4 linked regions of the Drosophila melanogaster genome follow. The protein of the gene in region 4 interacts with the protein of the main gene of each other region in a pairwise test. Each region holds a gene or a part of one and is shown on either strand. Other genes may lie near its edges. The genes, in order: CG3557, scaf6, CG17163 and Cpr76Ba.

Region 1 (3,237 bases), on a different chromosome or scaffold from region 4:
TATTTGCTCAGCATTTACTTTGCCAAGTGGTATACTTCCCGTGATAGCCTGACTTATCAAGGACTAATAAGAAAGTTAAAGAGTATTCTTTTCGTGGCCATTCTCTGTTGGAAATTGGTTTTTATAAGTTCTTTTCTAACGGGCATAGCACGTGTAACTTTTAGTTTTGGCTATGTAATCTGGATTTTCGCTGTCTCCCTAAGCCTAATTGTGATCTACGCGTTCTTCTTTGAGCTGAAACTCGTACGGCCAGATATTTGTTCTAAAAAGTCAATTAGAGATGACGGGCAAAAGAACATATCCTTGCCCACCTTTGTTGAAAGTCTGAACATGAACGGTCTGACTCACTTCATGATCTCCAATTTCCTTACGGGAATGGTCAACATGTCCCTGAACCCGGGTCATCGAAGTGATCTGGAGTCTGTTGTTATACTGTCCATCTATATGTTTGTTTGTGCTGGAGTGGTCTTCCTTATGCTAAAAAAAGGCATACGTGTAGCTTAGTATTTGTTGTATAAATTAAATAGCAAAATACAAAGTACGGGTGAAAGTTTATTTTTAACTGACCACAGGCTAAAAAGTATACAAAACGAGTACCATCTTCCTAAGGACCACAAATAGACTCAAAGGGCATGATGCAACCATTCGGCATGACTAGAAAAAGGATGATGGGTGCCTCCGACCCGATCTTAGAGGGAGAGTTGTCTACATCGGAATCCTTGTACACCTCGTACACCATGCACCCATCGTTGCCACGAATCAAACGGGTCCACAACCACTTTTGGTCCTTGTGTCCTTGGGCAATCTGGGATGTAAGCTTGTCTTTCAGCTGTTGACAGGCCACCGAGCAGGTGGAAATTGATCGGCTTATCTGTTCCCTTATCGTGGCGCTGCCCGCCTTATTTCTCAACGGAATATCCTCCGCCGGGTGATCGAAGTCCACCCTGGGAGTACGCTGGCGGGGACAACAGGCAGCGGAACTAAGCCGACTCGCGGTCTTGAAGCAGGAAGATTTCGGAGTATCCATTGGACTGCAGGGCACTAGTGGAGCTTTTGGACTGGCGCAGCATCTCGTTGGCTTGGGATAACAACAGATAGTCGACGGCTTGGAGCAGCATGTACTCCAGGCCGATGAAGATGGATAAGCCGAGCTGCTTCCGGAACTGCAAGGGCTTGGTGCACAGGGTGCTGGTGGTGGGCAGGATTCCTTCTTAAAAGCTGATCCTACGGGTATATTTTATCTATGGACGCATTTATATTACTTCCTTCGATTACTGACCTTCATTCGACAACTCCAGCAATGGAATTATTTTCGTGGCGCCCGAAAGATAGAGGATGCGGTCCAGGATCGTCATGATGACCTCATCTGGATGCGGGCCCAGCATGTCGAAGAGTGGAGCCTGCGGCTTCTTCCCCAATCTGAGACCCGTTGGACACTCACAACGCGTCGTCTGAGTGGCACAACAGGATTTCATGGTTTCGTCTGCTAGTGTTGGTATAAATAAACACCCAATTTTTCCAAATGATATTCTCCCAAAAAGCCGGACCGGAAGTAAGAGATATTTGAGTGCTTAGCATGGACCTGCTTTGTCAGGAGCCATGGGCAGATGTCAAAGGTGCGATATCCGGCTTAGGCACACGGCGAAGGCGTCACAAAAGATAAGATTTCTATTAAGGAAATGACTGGAATTGCTTGCATTGTCCCTGGGCATCCAGGATGAGCACAGATCCCGAACGGCTGGGCAAGGACATTTAATTTAACGGCGCAAACAAAGACCAAATCAAAGTTCAGCCTCCGGGGGAAGCTAAGCTCACAAGCGACCAGGGTTAAAGGACCGCGCAAATGACCAGCAATGTGCTTCTTATTGTCAAAGGAAAGGACATCGAAAGGAGGTTTAACTATACGAAAACCTATCTACAAACCTTAGAGTTTTAAGTTAACATTTTCATTTCGTGACTTAGATACCTTGATGAAGATTAATTAAGATCAAGATTACTAATGATAAGATTCCTCAAAAATTCCTCACTGAAAAGGGTATCAGGCGTTCGCATTGCCGAACATACGTCTTTGGAATTTTTTCTATCCGACTCGAATGTAATTACGGCAACAGTTTCCGCTGCTGATGCGTAGCCTCTGCTCGCCATTCGACTTTGATGCGCTTTTAATGTCATATCCTGGCCAAGGACGAGGGCGTCGCCGGTGAATCTTATCTGATTTGGGCCAGCACAAATGCAATTTCCGTCCGCCAACCTTTCAACCCTTCCTGCCCACAAGCTATGCAGAGTTAATAGCTGGGAACCAAATATAATCATATAGTGTACCAGGAGGCGTGTCCTGGAAAAAGCAACAGGATGAGGCAAAACAGGAGAGCGGGAAGCACGAGCACCTGTTACCATAGGGGGTGGCTTTTTGGCTTTGATGACAGATTATTTTCATTAGCAAAAGAAGCGAATTGTTGTCCACTTTTGGGGAGAGTCGAATTATGAGCGTTAATTATTATGTTCATGTTTTTCCCCAGCATGTAGAACATGACATCCTGATTGATGTGGCCAACAATCAGGTAGAGAATTGGTTTTTCTGCTTACCGCATCTTTTTTCGAGCTGCCAATTTGCTGACGAGTTCCTTTTTTCGACTGCTCGTCAAATCGGATTCCATTCAGCGGGGCTTTCATAAAAAGAAATAAATAAAAACCCAAATATATCTGTGCATATGCATGAGTGTGTCTGCTGCGTGAAGGACTAAGCTCCTGGGCCCTGGGGAAATCGCTTAAGCCGTTCATAATGAATATCATGTGTACATGTGGGTGTGTGTGTCCATGTGTGTGGCAGTGTGGTGACTAAGCTGCAGGACCTTTTGCCAAGCGGCAAATGTGCGGAGAATGTGCAATATATGTCTGAACTATAGCTCCTCTGTGGCAGGACACCTACATGGTTCTGTTTAAAGGACTTAAATTCAGTTTTAATTCAGTTTCCCTAGCATTAAGCAATATATAGTTGCTTGCGATTGAATCGCCTCCTTCCATGCATTCTGAATTTTCTTACAATTTCCATAGAACTTTTCAAAGTTCCACATCAAAAACTGATTCGTTATGGCTTCCTCGAGCGTTTCTCCGCCTTCAATCCTTCACAGCAGCCCACTGCGTTACCACAGAAGTTCGTGACTTGGGCTGGGGCACAGACGCCCTAACAACTTCAGGCACATGGCAAACAAAATGCTTATCGAACAACAGTTTTTA
Region 2 (7,634 bases), 2.5 Mb from region 4:
CACAGAATAGTACTTACTGTAAGGTAAAGGGCTTGCTGAAAAGCACAAAGGAGAAGGCTATAGTCACAGCCTTGCGGGCGGTGGTCACTGTGGCAGCTATGGGGGCACCACTACTCCTCACCAGAGCCAGCACAAACTGAATGCCCAGATAGCCGGACAAACTAAAGAGGAAGCCATAGCCGAAGGTCTCAACGGGATGCTAAATGGATAATACACTTTAGATCTCTTACATCATAAACCTCAAATGTTACCCACCTCCAAACAGAATGCAAAGCCGCTGAAGAAGTTGCCGGTAACCAGCATAATCACAAATAGGTACACAAAACCCAAGCCGTATGAGTAGAACACCACCTCACTGCTGGGCGCCTTGAATTCCCGCATCGCCTTCTCCTGGACATTGCCAATGGCTGCGTCGCAGAGCAGCGCTCCCGAAATCATGGCCACACCAAGCAGATTGAAATTGGGCGTCATCTGGGAGTCGGCCAGCGTGAACCAGGCCAATCCGATGCACATGCAGGTGGCTGCCGCAAAGTCCAGCAGTCCGTAGCGTTTGCCCTGTATGAGGATGCTGCCCACCAGCACGGGAATGAGCTTGCAGCACTTGAAAATCACCTGGGTGGGATAGTTCAGGTAGCCGAGACTTGAGTTGGACAGACCCATGGTACCCAGCGTGAGAGCAGCCAGAATTAGGTATGTTCTCATGGGAATGCAACGTGGCTCCGGCTCAATGTTCCAAAAGGAACCGCCGCTTATCCGATAGCCCTCCAGCCGCCGCTCCACCAAACCGAAGCCGATGTAGTAGCCAAACTGGACGAGCGTGAGGAACCATCCGTAGGGTTTGAATCCTTCGACGGTGAAGATCAGCTCCTGCAGATAGCCGTACAGGATGTACAGGAAGAAGACGCCGGCGCAGCTGAGCAGGAACTGAGTTGTGCGATTGTAGTAGGTGAGGTCAAAGCAAAGGATACGGAGTTCCGGCGGAGATTCCGACGTCGAGGACTTCCGCTGCGAGGGCGGCGAGTTTCCCGCCGATTCGCCGCCATTAATGGTGATAACGCTCCCCTTATTATCGGTCATTCTGCTGCTAGCGGATGTGTCTATATACATATACACACTATATAGTGGCTATTTCAAGATTATATTTCCAGGGAGCCCGTGTAATTCAATGCCACGCTGTCCGCGGAGTTGTCGGTTTAAAGTGCGGATTTGTCATGCCTCCTCGGATGCTGCATTAATCACGGGCCGGCGTGGAGATTTCTGTTGGGTGCAAATTGCCCTGGCTAAATGTTTGTTTACCACAAATAAACTATTTTTGTCAGCTTAGAACTGAGATAGACGCGCGGCGTTGCCACGTTGTGGTAATAATAGAAGAGAGACCGGTATAACGTGGAACAAGTTGGCAGCTCTGCTACCACCGTCATTCTAATTGGAACTTCTGCTACTGGCAATAAATACATTTAACAAATGAGCAGCGATAAAGGTTTAAGCCGCTTTTTTGCTCAAAAAAGCGTATGATAAGCGCTAAAAACTACTTAAAAAGTAGTGCCGAGAGTAACTCCTAGTATTTGACTACATGTCGTTCTAAGAATACAAAGATATGGGCACACTGTCGGAAAAAACAAGAAGAAGCAGTGAAAAGTGCCGCTGAAAAAGTGCAAAAAGTTATGAATTTAGTATTTTACATAGGATAATAGTGCTAATAACAGTCGCAAAATGGACGTGCAACCGCCACGCGGTAAGTGCAGCAATTAAAAAGTGCTGAATATAACTTAAAATCAAGCTAATTTTGTGCCCAAGTCGATTGGCATGCACATGTGTACACATACAAACAAACAAGCGCACGCACAACCTTTGATATGCTCACATTTTTTGCAAAAACCATTTGCTTTCTATTTGCAGATGCCAGTTTACGAAATATTATCGACAAACTGGCGGAGTTTGTGGCCAGAAATGGGCCGGAATTCGAGGCGATAACCAAGCAGAAGCAGCAGAACAATCCAAAGTTCGAGTTCCTCTACGGCGGGGAGTTCGCCAACTATTATCAATTCAGGGTGGCAGCGGAACAAGCTCGTGAGTGCGTTCTAAATTGGTGGAAAATAACCCCTATAATCTCCTTTTAACACCCAATACAGTGCTAAAGCAACAGGCCATTAACCAACAACTGCCACCAGGTGCTCCATCCGGCCACTACATGCAACATCCGCCGCCAATGCAGCAATCCCAACCACCGGGCCTCTATCCGCCACCCAATCAGCAGCCACCGCACCCGCCCGAAACCGCACAAGACAATATGCAACAGCAAACACAGCACTCCTGGCCGCCGAACTCCGGCAACGGTGGGCCGCCAAACAATCAGCAGGCCAATGGCAATCCCATGGCCATGAATCTAACGTCACAACTGGAAGCCATCAAGATGCAGCAGAAGTCGCTGCGGGAACAGATCCAGCAATCCGAAGCGAATCTCTCCGCACAGCACACGGTAATTTGAAGTTGGAAATAACTGGGATACCTCTATATGCCCACCTTTGCAAGCCTTTTTCCGAAAGATTAGAGCAGCTCGAGTGTATAAAGAAAAGATTTCAATATGATTTCATGTTGAATGTTGGCCTCCTCTGGCAAAAATTTAAAGAAGCAAATTGGTTTCCTTTTTAAACTAAATACCCACCTAAAAGTTGCTTTTATAGTCTGAATATAAGAACGTGTTTGCTTCTTCGAATTTTTGACCTCCCTTTTAAACGACCCAATCGAATGTGAATATACCTCGATTTTAAGCCAGAATGCTTTTAATTATTTTCTTAAGAGAGAAGATAACTTGTATAACCCTTATATACTTTCGGACTTAAATGATTTCCAAAGATATTGTCATAGACTCATAGATGGCAGTTTTGTATTCCCTAGTTTTTGTAATAACAACTCTGGAACAAGAGTTCATCAAATGGTGTTTAATATTAATAATTATGAACTGCTTTTGTGGACTTTTCACTCTATAAGTACTGTGAACTAAATTCTTTCTAATAAGAAGGACATTTCTTATTGCTTGTCGCTATTGAATTTCCCTGTAATGGAAGTGACTTCCCTCTTGAAATTGTTTCTTATGAAACTAATCCACGAATTCCTCAGAATAATCAATCCTGCTCTCGACCCTTTTCCAAATGTTTTTTCAATCGATCTACTCAGTTCTTGTTCTCCAAGTGCGGATAAGATAAAGTTAAAGTGTACTTTCAGCAATATCAAACTACAATCTATATTTGTCATTATTTTTACTATTTAATTAACAATTTACAATGCTACATTAAATTTTTGCTTTATTGTATTTTTTGAAACATAAACCAAAAAAAAAAAAACCAAATCAAACCACTCTTCATACCAACTGACAAAACTGTATAAAAACAAAAAAAAAACAAATCCTAAAATCAAATTTGTTTTGAAACGCTTGTCAAATGAATCCCAAAATGCGAATATGCATGCGAACAAACCTTTGTGTGCCTAATGACCAAACCGAACCGATCCGAACCACACCAACGCTTGCGATCCTAATCGCACCAATCAACCAAACGAAACCAACCTGTAGGCCCTGATGAATCAGAAGACCAAGCAGATCGAGGATGCAATTGCGGCGGCGCAGACGGCGCAGCAGGAACAGATGGCTGGCGAACAGGGCATTGTGCTGAGGGACTTCGATGGCGTTCTGCAGCCGATCATCGAGTCCTGCACGAAGGACAGCATCTCTGCAGGTAAATACGAGTTCAGCGGACAGGCTGGATTACATTATTGCTTGTTTGTAGTCTCGTAATCAGTCATAAGTTAGCTAATGGAGCTGAATTTTTGATGCTCCGCAGCTTTGCTGCACACAAAGCGCACACTAAATGAATCCATACTACTTTTTGATTAATCCTAAACCTAATTTATAATCGCCATGGACAATGACAATATGAGTAACCCGTTTGATATTGCAATTTTAGGCAAGAACTGGATTTTACAGCATTCAACCGACAGCGCAAAAATCAATGTCGTTTTACAATATCTTTTAAAGAAGTATGCCTCAGTTTTATACCTAATGACCTGCAATATGTATTAATTAAATTGTGTTTCTTTCTTTCAACGAGTGAAATACTAACCAAACATAGAAAAACGAAATACGAAATATCGAACAAACAAGTGAGAGATGATCGATTGAGCGATTGTGCGATTGAGACTTCCACAGAGAGGCTCGAGATTGATTCGTTGATTCGTTTTCGAGAGATGTTATGATCATATATGAGTAGTCCCCAGATCCGGAAGTCTTTTAGCTAGGGCCACACACCCAAACAAATCATTTTACTTAATAAGCTTAACCATAAACACGCACAACAACACACCAACACTTAACAGTGATAATCATCGGACAAAAAAAAAAAACCAAAAAAAAAAACACAAATACCAAAAAGAAAGAAGATTTACTAACAAAAATCATTATACTTGCACAACAAGTACTTTTGGCAATGTTGTTGTGCATACAGAGAACTAGAAAAATATGTTTTTCGTTTGTTAATTTATTTTTAGGGCTTTGGTCAATGGTTCAACGTTTCAGCAAAAATTGCATCTTATATATTTAGTTAATGATATACTCCATCACTGGTAAGTTCGCCCAGTCAATTATTAGTATAGTATAGTATTTAAGGGCCATAGACCTCAATAACTAACCCACTGAGCAGTAAGACTACTTTGTGGGTTAGTTTCTGCGGACGACTACGCTGACAGAATTGGACTGAACCTGACCGACCACCGGACTTCGGACATCATACCTTGACATTTAGAGTAGCTAGGAGATGAGACCTAAGTCCAACGATATATTTACAGCATGCGCAAGAACATCAATGACTTGAAGAACAGCCTCGAGAACGTCGTCATTCCGATGTTCTGCAGCGCCGACTTGAGTATGTATTTCCACTTCGATCCATTCCTTTACGGATTTCTAATAGTGTTATCCTCGCCCACAGTTGGCAACCCCGACCAGCGCCAGAAGCTAGCCAAGCTGCTGTCTCTGTGGGAGTCCAAGGCGAAGTTCTTCGATGCCTGCGTCATCTCGAAGCTTCAGTCACCGGACTCGTCAATGCAGGAGTACAAAACCAATCTGCAGAACACACATCATGATATAACTGCTAAATTCACGCAGAATACCAAGGCGACTTTGGATAAGTAAGTATAAAAGTCCAAGAACATAATAGAGCACATAATAAACCATAACTCTTATGCTTCAGCTATCAGAAACAGCATCATGTATTTATCCAACATGCTAGCCAGCAAATTGTGCAGCTGGAGAAACAGGCGCAGCACCTGGAGCAGCAGATTGTGGCCCAGAAGTCCCAGCAGCAACACATGCTTCAGCATCAGCAGAAGAACATACCATCGCTGATGTCCCACCGAATAGCAATGCCGGGTGACCATGAGCACATGAATAGCCAGGGGCCGCATGATCAGCAGCATCCGCAGGCGGGAAATAATATGTATCCAGGTGGTAACTTCCAACAGCAGCAGCCACCACCGGGGAATCACTTTGCGGATCCACGCGGACCGAACTTCTTCATTCCGGACATGTCCAAACCACCACCAGGCTTCCCCGGACCCATGCATCATAATCAGGGCCCAGCAATGGGCCAGCAGCAGCCACAACCGGGACAGTTTCCGCCCATGCAGGCGCCGGGTTCTGGCAATGAACCACCTGTTGATCTTGGCGTTCTCAGTGCAGCGATTCAGGCGTGCTTACAGATGCAGCAGCAACACCATCCTGACGACCCTCAGCAACAAGGACAGCACCAACTGCAGCAGCAGCAGCAGCAACAACCGCAGCAGCAAAAGCAGCCGCCGCCAATGGCTGCCTATCCCCAGAATATTGTTAGACCTGGCCAGCAAAATGCTGATAGCAGCGAAGTGGATCTGGATGTGCTCAATGCAGCCATTCGCGCGGTTATAACCAACAAACCCGAAGACGGAACATTGGAAGATGGCCAGCAACCACAGAAATTGGTCGACGGAGAATCTGGAGAACCTGTTGTGATCGGAGAGCCACAAATACCCACAGCGCCTTACTACGACCTGCCAGCGGGCCTCATGGTGCCGCTCATTCGTCTGGAGGATTACAACTACAAAGCCCTCGATCCGGCGGACATTCGACTGCCAGCTCCAGCGCCACAAAGCGAGCGATTAACAAATGCATTGAACGCCTTCTATTCCGCACCCTCACACGATCGTCCAAGGGATAAGTAAGTATTTCAATTTGATGTTATTGAGCGTTCCTTATAAATGGGCTTATCTTGCAGTGAGGGTTGGGAGAAGCTTGGTCTCTATGAGTACTATAAGGTGAAGAATGCGGCGCGAAAGCAAAAAGAAGAGGAAATCAAGGACGGCATTCGAGAAAAGTCGCGGTCGCCAAGTCCGATTGTGCTCGAGAAACCCCTACCCAAAAAGAGCAACAAGCGAGTTTATCGGTGAGTGTTGGTTTTCCATCAAAAATTTTCACACAAAAACTAGAAATATTTGCACTTATTTTCTTGCGCAGATCCAAGAGTCGCAGTCGCTCCCGCTCAAAAACGCCGCCCCATCGAGATAGATCGTTGTCTCGCTCCCGATCCCGCTCGCGATCCATGGAGCGCTCTTTAACGCCGCCACCGATGAATCGGAGCAGGTTGGGCGGTGGTAACAACCGCAAGGGTCGCAATCGATCTCCTCGCCACGAACGGGACAACAACAGCGGCAGCACAAATACCAGAGAGGGCCGTGGTGATCGTGGCAATTCCAATAGCCGAGACAATGGCAACAGCACCAACCTAAGACGAGTGGACCGCGACAGATCTCTAACACCTCCGAGCTTTCTGTAAATCATGGCTATAGTACAATTTCATGACAGTCGGACCAATGAGCTATCTTTGTTTTTCCAGGGGAAGCACATTTGCCAAGCCAGCGGATTTCATCGAGGAATCGAACAAGGGCCACCAAATGCTCATGAAAATGGGTTGGGCGGGCACGGGAACTGGACTGGGCTCAAAGAATCAAGGCATCGACACGCCCATTTCGGGAGGCGAGGTGCGCGATCGTCGAGAGATGTACAAGGTGAAGTGGCAAGAGTGCGCAAGAAAGGACAACTTATAATTTTCTATCCACAGGGAGTGGGCGCTAATATGCACGATCCCTTCGAGAGCTTTCGGAAGAACAAAGGAGCTGCCTTCGCGCACCGGATGCGATCGCGAGACGACAAGAGTTAGGATCTGCCAACGGTCATAACTTCCCAGTTTTTTGTTTCCTTTAGCCCAGAAAATATACATTTTTATAAAAGCGAACTGAATTTTTATACAAGATTAGGCTATAACATTAAAGCTGGATTGAGCGGCCTTGGCATTTACTTTTTCCAGGACCTGGACCAGGCCCTTGCCAGGACCGCATTCGAAGGTGCGTGGAAAGTCGACGCCCTGCTTGCGCTCGTACATCTCGTGGAGAGTCTGCTCCCACTTGACGGGCCTCACGATTTGCTTGGGCAGCTGCGTTAGGATGTGCTTGGCATGGCGATAGGGTTTGCCATCCACATTGGAGTACACTCTAATGACGGGGTCCTGAAGTCGCACCGTTTTCAGGGCTTTGGTAAATGGCTCCACGGCGCT
Region 3 (3,920 bases), on a different chromosome or scaffold from region 4:
AGTACACATCCTGTATTTCTAACCCTACTTTACGATATAATTAATACGTAAGACTGTCTATAGATTTAGAAGACGAGGCTTCCATCAGCTATTTCTATTTATTTCGTGAGTGTATCTTAAGGCCCGTAGTACAACCAACAAATGTTTAAACCGTTACCAAAGCACAAAACGAGATACTAGCAGTTAAGAAAATATTACACGCTTATCCGGAAGAGTCCATGATATTCACCCATTCTGCCCAGGCCTGTCGCTGACAGAAGAAATTCGTAACATCATAAAAACGTTCTGTTGATATTCCGCGTATATACTTAGCGCTTTAGCAACTACTTGTTAACTCTGCCTAATATACTTGATACCATTATTATTAATTTATAAATATACCTTAAGACAATTCTTACCGAATCATTATATTATTATTAAATTGTCTTTCAAACTGATCCCGAGACTATCTAGGGGCCAATTCATTAGACTTTGAAGCCAGTTTAAAAATAAAACAGTGATAATTGGGTGGCGGTTTGTCGTTAGGTTTTTAGTTTCATTTAGGGGAATAATTGAAATTACCTTGAAGTTGTTACATCACAAATAATATCATTGAATGAGATCAAATACACCTTAATACACATCCAGTATGCAAAATTCGTAGAACGATACCCAAAGTTAATTAATTGGAGTGTATCTAGGCGTGTACACTATTTATCTTAAAGATATATAAGTACATTTGTAAATATATAAGGAGAAACTTTATTTCCCCATTACCACTAAATATAAATAAGTTCAATAAAGGGCTTTGTTTTTGTTTGCACGCATTGGGTTGTCTTGGAGTTTCTCTGGGACTAATCAAATCGTTTACACATAAAAATACTTAGAATTAATTGGTTTGTACGCCCAATATTTTTTACACAGTACGCATACTACATCTGGTATTCCAACAAATGCATACAACATATAGAGAAATCAAGGAAGTCTTTGAAACTTCCAGGGGCTTCTTGGAGGCTGCACAGTATGCTCGTGCCACCTGTCCCATCATTTCTTCCTTATTCTCCTCAACCCTTCTACGTTCCATAAACAAATCAGTCTGAGCAATTACAATTCAGAAATTCCAAACATGCTGCAAATGCGAAATGGCAACTTTAAGCTGCCTCCTAACCCATTGGCACAAAGCTTAATTAATATGCTTCCGTATATAGATGGCTGTGCTCACTAAATGGTAACTAACACGCTGTCCAGCTCAGGACATTTTCAATCCGCTAGTCGAAATGCCCATTATTAGGTGCAGCAATGGTGACCGTTCTTAACGTAGTAATTGTGCATGGCAACAGTACCATTCTTGCTATAGCTTCCGCTACCATTGTACTGCATGTTGGACATGGAGCTGCCAATTCCGGAGCCACCTCCCGGAATGGGTGCGTCGTCGGTGCTGGTGGAGGCGTCAAAGGCCTTAATGGGATTCTGGATAATCTTGCAGGTGAATTGGCGATGGGGGCCACGCTCCTGCTGAAGAAGTACAAATACAAGTTTTGAACTTCGTATTGCCTAGTGAACATACATACCTTAGGTTGTATGGGGAAGCAGCACCAAAGGATAAATGCTATAAATGCCACCAGGGTGCCTACCAGCAGTATGAAGTCCTCGATGGTCTACAGAAGGCCGAAAAGGCATGTCTTGTGAGTACTAAATGGTATTGGCCCCATGAAGTCCACTTACCGGCTCCTCGCCCAGCAGCACATGATTGATTAGATAGACAAAGTCATCAAAGGGTGTCATCGTGACTATCCTTTTCGCACTTTTGTGCGTAAGGCAACTGCAACAGCTGCTACTGACAAATGCCGCTACAATCCGCACAGCACAACAGCATGGCGGTCCGGAGGATTACACCGCAATAACCACTGGCATATCCTCCGGGTTTTATGAATTTCTCGATTTTCGCACGGCTTTTCGACTGTGTGGCCAGGTGCGACCAGCTAACAGAAACAATTTTTAAACAGCTTATCGCGCAATGCATGTGTAAGCAAATGTACATGTGTTTTGAGCAAAAAATGCATTAATTGAATTGAACTAGCTGTAGGCTGTGCCTTTAATGCAGTCCTCCTTTAGGTAAACTCGTACTGTTTTTTAACCTGTTCATTCGGGCAGGCTGCGCTTTAAGCGTCTTCATCCCTAAGTAGTACATATACATGTACATTAATACGCGAGAGATACGCAAAGCCACGAAATCTTGCTTGGGCGAAATTGGTGCAGTTGTATATGAAACACCCAAAAATCTTTATTTCTATAAGACTTTGTGTTTTAAATTGTAAAAACTTTTTCAGAGTAATCGATATGGCTGCAAACTCGATAGGAAATACGATAATTTCTCTTAATTTTTTTTCCTCTGGTCACTCTCGTTTTAACAGCTGACCGTATCAGAAAAGACCCATTTTTTAATTTTTGGTTTGTTTTCCCATCGATTTCTGGAATTCGACGTGCATCATATGTAAAATGAGCAAGCAACGCAACAAGGAGCATGAACTGGAACAGCAACGCACCGGTCACGAGGGGGACACTAAAATGAGCGACCGCAACTTATCCAAAACGAAGAAGATTAAGCAAAGGGCGACCGCCGATTCCTCTAGTTCATCAGATTCCTCCAATGAAAGCAAAAAATCTAATCACAGCTCCCTGTCGCCTAACAGAAAGCAGCGGACAGCCGGTAAGCGACAAAGAGACTCCTCTCAATCGCAGGAGAAACGCCACAAGCAGTTAACACATCCGTCGGAGGACGTACATGAACAGCGCTCTAAGTGGGACAGTCCGGAACGCAGCAACTCCCATCGCAACAGTACAAGGCAGCGCCGGAACACTCGGAGTCGCTCAAGGGAGCGTAGCGAGAGAGAACGGGATAGGGATTGTGAGCGAAACAAAGAGCGGGACTATAACATGCAATCCAGCAAGGAGCGCTGGCAGCGTTCGCCTGCTCTGCGGCATCGTTCAAGGAGCAGCGAACGCAAAAATAGGGAGCGTGATCGCCAGCGGAGGCCTACTGAAAGGCGCCCGGTTCGGTAGGTTTTCGTAAATCATCTGTACTAAAACTTGTAATAAGTAAAAATTCATTCCATATTCTTCTATATATATATTACATAAACTGATTTTACCATAATTCCTATTAAATCTATAACTAGCTTAACTTAGCTACTATTTATACTTTTATTCTGCTCAGTTATACTTCATCTAAAATACTATTAAATTATTTTAATTAGTAAGGTTTGCGTTATATAAAAAAAAACTTTTTAAATTAGTTAAATTTAAAGACAGTCTAGCAAAAATATTTGTCCAACCCCTGAATGGCTAGTATATTTCTTCTTATTATTATCTTTATTCCCAGCCGTAGTCAAAGTCCACGAGATCGGTGCCACGGCGGGCGGGATCTTGACCAGAGACGCCAACGAAATCAGCGTCACAACAACAGCAACAAGAATGAGGATGATCACTACGTCTGGGGAAAGGAAGTCGACGAAAAAGTGCCAGCCGAGAACGACGTGCCGGTGGACAAGGAAAAGCCCAACTTCGGACTAAGTGGCGCGTTAACAGAGGACACTAATAAGTTAAACGGTGTGGTGGTTAAATACTCTGAGCCCCCGGAGGCACGCAAGCCCAAACGGCGCTGGAGATTGTACCCGTTCAAGGGCGAAACAGCATTGCCCACGCTCCATATTCATCGGCAGAGTTGCTTTCTGGTTGGACGCGATCGAAAAGTGGTCGATCTGGCAGTGGATCATCCTAGTTGCTCCAAACAACACGCAGCCCTGCAATATCGACTGGTGCCCTTCGAGCGGGAAGATGGTAGTCACGGAAAACGCGTGCGATTGTACCTTATCGATCTGGATTCGGCAAACGGAACGTTTCTCAACAACAAGAAGATCGATGCCAGGAAGTACTACGAG
Region 4 (3,202 bases):
CAACTCAATTGGAAAATAGGCAATAAATAGGATTTCTCAGGCGTTGTTTCTCTGTCTCAGCAGATTAATAATATCAAAAATGGGAGGTCCGAAAAAACTTTCAATGGCATTCGTTTCGAAGTCAATGACTCTGGGCATCGAGATCGAGTCGAATAAGCAGGGGAACTTAAGTAACGACAGCGACGGCGATGTAGATGAATTAAAAAATTGTGAAAATCAGGAATATCTTTACCATCTTTACCATATCTTTACCGGACTCTGATGATAACTTTTGGAAGGACTTTTCTGAACAAGCCGAAGCCTTCAAAGTCCTTAGAAAAGATGTGCGTAAGATCTTCCGAACCTCCTTATGTGAGCTAGAATACAAAAAGGCTGCAAGACACTAAGGCCTCAACATCCTCCGTATCGAATGTATCTTAGAATTATTGGATCGGTAAGTTGTTTCTCTCATTTAATAAACGGTGTTCGTTGTGGTCTTAAATCTCAGAACTATTGTAAAAACTTTAAATAGTAAAGTAGTTTGATTTGTAGCTTTTTTCTGCACTTTGATATATTTACCTACTATTTAAGTTAACAATTTTGTAGTTCTATTTACAATAATTAAGTCGGTCCGAATCGCTTGCAGTCAGTCAGTTAGGTCAGCTCCTCTACCACCACTTGTTGCTCTTGTCCTCCCATTTGCTGCTGGTGTCCTGTTTGACATCCACGTAGCTGGTGGCATGACCATGCCCATGTCCGTATTGCTGGCCATATGAGTGGCTGTGCTCCAAGTGACTGGCGTGTCCCACATGCTTCACGGTTGCCTGGAATCCGTTGTGGGAGTCGGCGGTGTACTCAACGATCCTGGTGCGTCCGTCGGCCTCCTTCATGGTGTAGCCTCCCTTGACCTTGTCGCCATCGCGGGTCTCCCACTGCTGCTTGATGTCGCCGGTCTTGGTGTCCTTCACCCCGTAATTGAATTCGTATTTGGGATGGTGTTTGGGTTCCTCGTGGTGGCTCCACTGGTGGTGGCTATCGTGCGCAGCGACTGGAGCCCACTGCTGGTGGTGATGATCCTGAACTGTGCCCCATGAATGGGCCTTTGGGACATCCACCCATTGGTGGTGAGCCTGGTGGTGATCCTGCCACTGCTTGGGCGCCTCGTGATGCGTCTGGATGCTGTACCCCACGCCGTGTTCGTGACTATATCCACCATGAGGGATGTAGCTAGCAGCAGCCACTCCCAGAAGTGCGCAGCAGAGGATGCTCAATTGGTGGGCCATTTTCGTTGGTTTCTGATTGACTTGCCTGGCCTAAATCACGATTGGAACTGTTATAATCACCAGACAATGCCCAATGCTTTTATACTTCTGGCCATTCTATGGATCGATTAATTACATTTTAGACTGCGGGCTAAATAGGCTAGAAAAAAGTAAGAGCCCCAAAAATGGGTATAAAAAATGCTTCGAATTTTTGTGCAAATTTTCATTTTTCCCCATTCGTATTCATAGTCTTGGGCGGTCGGTCGATTGGCAAATTAAAACTTGCCAGAAACAACAACATCATCATTAAGCGGGGCGTGAACATCGCTCAAATGCTTGAAAAACGCAAAGCTTTTCGATTTTGTTGCTTAGAAATCAATCAACAAGTGTGGCCCGCTTTCAAATTGCTCAGCAATAGCCGCCTCGCCTCGCCTCGCTGCGTTTCCACGGTTGGACCCTCTTTTTCGCCTACTTCACTCCAAATGACCTTGAGACGGACGGTGCGGTAAGGGGCTGAGAAGGGGAGGGCAGCGTTGGGCGGACCGTCCAATCGGTTGGTGTTTCTGACCAGGGGGTCTGCTGTGGGGCACCCAGAGCTTCCGAATTGGTGTTAACTTACCGATAGTGTTTTTTAATGCATATAATTTACAAGGCTAATAGACTTTAAGCTCGGAAATTTGAAATGCGTGAAAATATAAGCATATTGGTATTTAGCCTACGTTATCTGATGTTAATTATTTTTAAGACGTTTATTTGCATAAATTGTTTCGCTATCTATAGGAATAACATGCATATTAAATAAAAAGAAATCCTGTAGTTCAAGTTTTAAAACTACTAATAACTATATAATAAATATAATGTTGAAGCCAACAGATTTCTAGGAAAAACACATAATTATTTATAGCAAAATAGGTTCGCTTTGGATATTTACATAAGGATTTCAAAGTACAACACTACAAAGTTTATTTATTGGTTAGTTTAACAGCATTTCCTTATTTCTTCAAGCAAAAGCTGCCGCCTTCATCAGTTCACATTCTCAGTCATAATTAATTTTTGTAAATTAAGCAATAAGTTCTTGCCTTAGTTTTTCCCTTCTCTTTGACTGAATACCAAACACATCGAACGATCTAACAAAAACTTTTTGGATCTGATATTATTAATTATTACTAGCAGAATTTAATTGTAACGGATTGGACTTTAAATAAAATGTGCCGATTTTCTATAGAGCTCAATGGCCGAAACAATAATAATAAGTACGAGTTAGTGAGGTAATTATCAAATCAGCTAGCTCGATTGGTGAATGGTGTGGCCAAGAGAATGACCACCCGATGGTTGATTGCCCCAGAGTCTTCGATAGCTATATATAGTCTAGGTGAGCTCCCCAAGAACCAGCAGACATCATCAAAGTTCCGATTGGAAAACAGCGAATAAGTGACCGATATGAAATCCTTTAGCGGAGGTCTGTTCTTTGCCCTTCTGGTGGGAGCCAGTTGGGCAGCTCCCCATGGTGGACACGCCACCAGCTACAGTTCGGTGACCAAGCACGAAGGACCCGTCCACAAGAGCCTGGGCTACGGATACGATCACGATGTGGTCAGCGCTTACGGTGGCATCTACGGACACGGCTATCCGAGTGTCGGCCATTCGGGCTACGGATACGGATACGACAAGCACGAGCCCCATCACTATCCCAAGTACCAATTCGACTACGGCGTCAAGGATGCCCACACCGGAGACCAGAAGAGCCAGTGGGAGACGCGGGATGGCGACAAGGTCAAGGGCAGCTACTCCCTCAAGGAATCGGATGGCACCACCCGAGTGGTGGAGTACACCGCCGATGACCACAATGGCTTCAACGCAGTGGTAAAGAAGCTCGGCCACGCCCACCACCCCCAGGTCTACCACAAGGGCTACGGACACGGCGATATCTACGACGCCGACTACGGCTACGGTCACGATGT

What was found.
Region 1: the proteins of Cpr76Ba (region 4) and CG3557 interact in a two-hybrid assay, tested with the Drosophila melanogaster proteins (one large-scale study listed by BioGRID).
Region 2: the proteins of Cpr76Ba (region 4) and scaf6 interact in a two-hybrid assay, tested with the Drosophila melanogaster proteins (one large-scale study listed by BioGRID).
Region 3: the proteins of Cpr76Ba (region 4) and CG17163 interact in a two-hybrid assay, tested with the Drosophila melanogaster proteins (one large-scale study listed by BioGRID).

The regions. Positions count from the first base shown.
Region 1 is NT_033779.5:2,384,228-2,387,464, forward strand, and holds CG3557 (uncharacterized protein), read right to left. Parts: upstream 1,566-3,237; 5' UTR 1,476-1,565; coding exon 1,280-1,475; intron 1,225-1,279; coding exon 605-1,224; 3' UTR 534-604; downstream 1-533. Other genes in the region: PIG-Wa (phosphatidylinositol glycan anchor biosynthesis class W a), read left to right, coding at 1-504.
Region 2 is NT_037436.4:17,036,539-17,044,172, reverse strand, and holds scaf6 (SR-related CTD associated factor 6), read left to right. Parts: upstream 1-1,598; 5' UTR 1,599-1,713; coding exon 1,714-1,735; intron 1,736-1,899; coding exon 1,900-2,070; intron 2,071-2,132; coding exon 2,133-2,479; coding exon of another isoform or gene 2,480-2,488; exon of another isoform or gene 2,489-3,239; intron 3,240-3,571; coding exon 3,572-3,734; intron 3,735-3,962; coding exon 3,963-4,035; intron 4,036-4,542; coding exon 4,543-4,617; intron 4,618-4,839; coding exon 4,840-4,916; intron 4,917-4,979; coding exon 4,980-5,178; intron 5,179-5,240; coding exon 5,241-6,242; intron 6,243-6,299; coding exon 6,300-6,467; intron 6,468-6,538; coding exon 6,539-6,853; intron 6,854-6,917; coding exon 6,918-7,089; intron 7,090-7,142; coding exon 7,143-7,241; 3' UTR 7,242-7,314; downstream 7,315-7,634. Other genes in the region: Papst2 (PAPS transporter 2), read right to left, coding at 18-199, 256-1,107; beg (bad egg), read right to left, coding at 7,335-7,634.
Region 3 is NC_004354.4:23,080,366-23,084,285, forward strand, and holds CG17163 (uncharacterized protein), read right to left. Parts: upstream 2,345-3,920; 5' UTR 1,765-2,344; coding exon 1,705-1,764; intron 1,638-1,704; coding exon 1,551-1,637; intron 1,495-1,550; coding exon 1,267-1,494; 3' UTR 506-1,266; downstream 1-505. Other genes in the region: CG17168 (uncharacterized protein), read left to right, coding at 2,479-3,038, 3,362-3,920.
Region 4 is NT_037436.4:19,517,014-19,520,215, forward strand, and holds Cpr76Ba (cuticular protein 76Ba), read right to left. Parts: upstream 1,320-3,202; 5' UTR 1,263-1,319; coding exon 648-1,262; 3' UTR 539-647; downstream 1-538. Other genes in the region: Cpr76Bb (cuticular protein 76Bb), read left to right, coding at 2,682-3,202.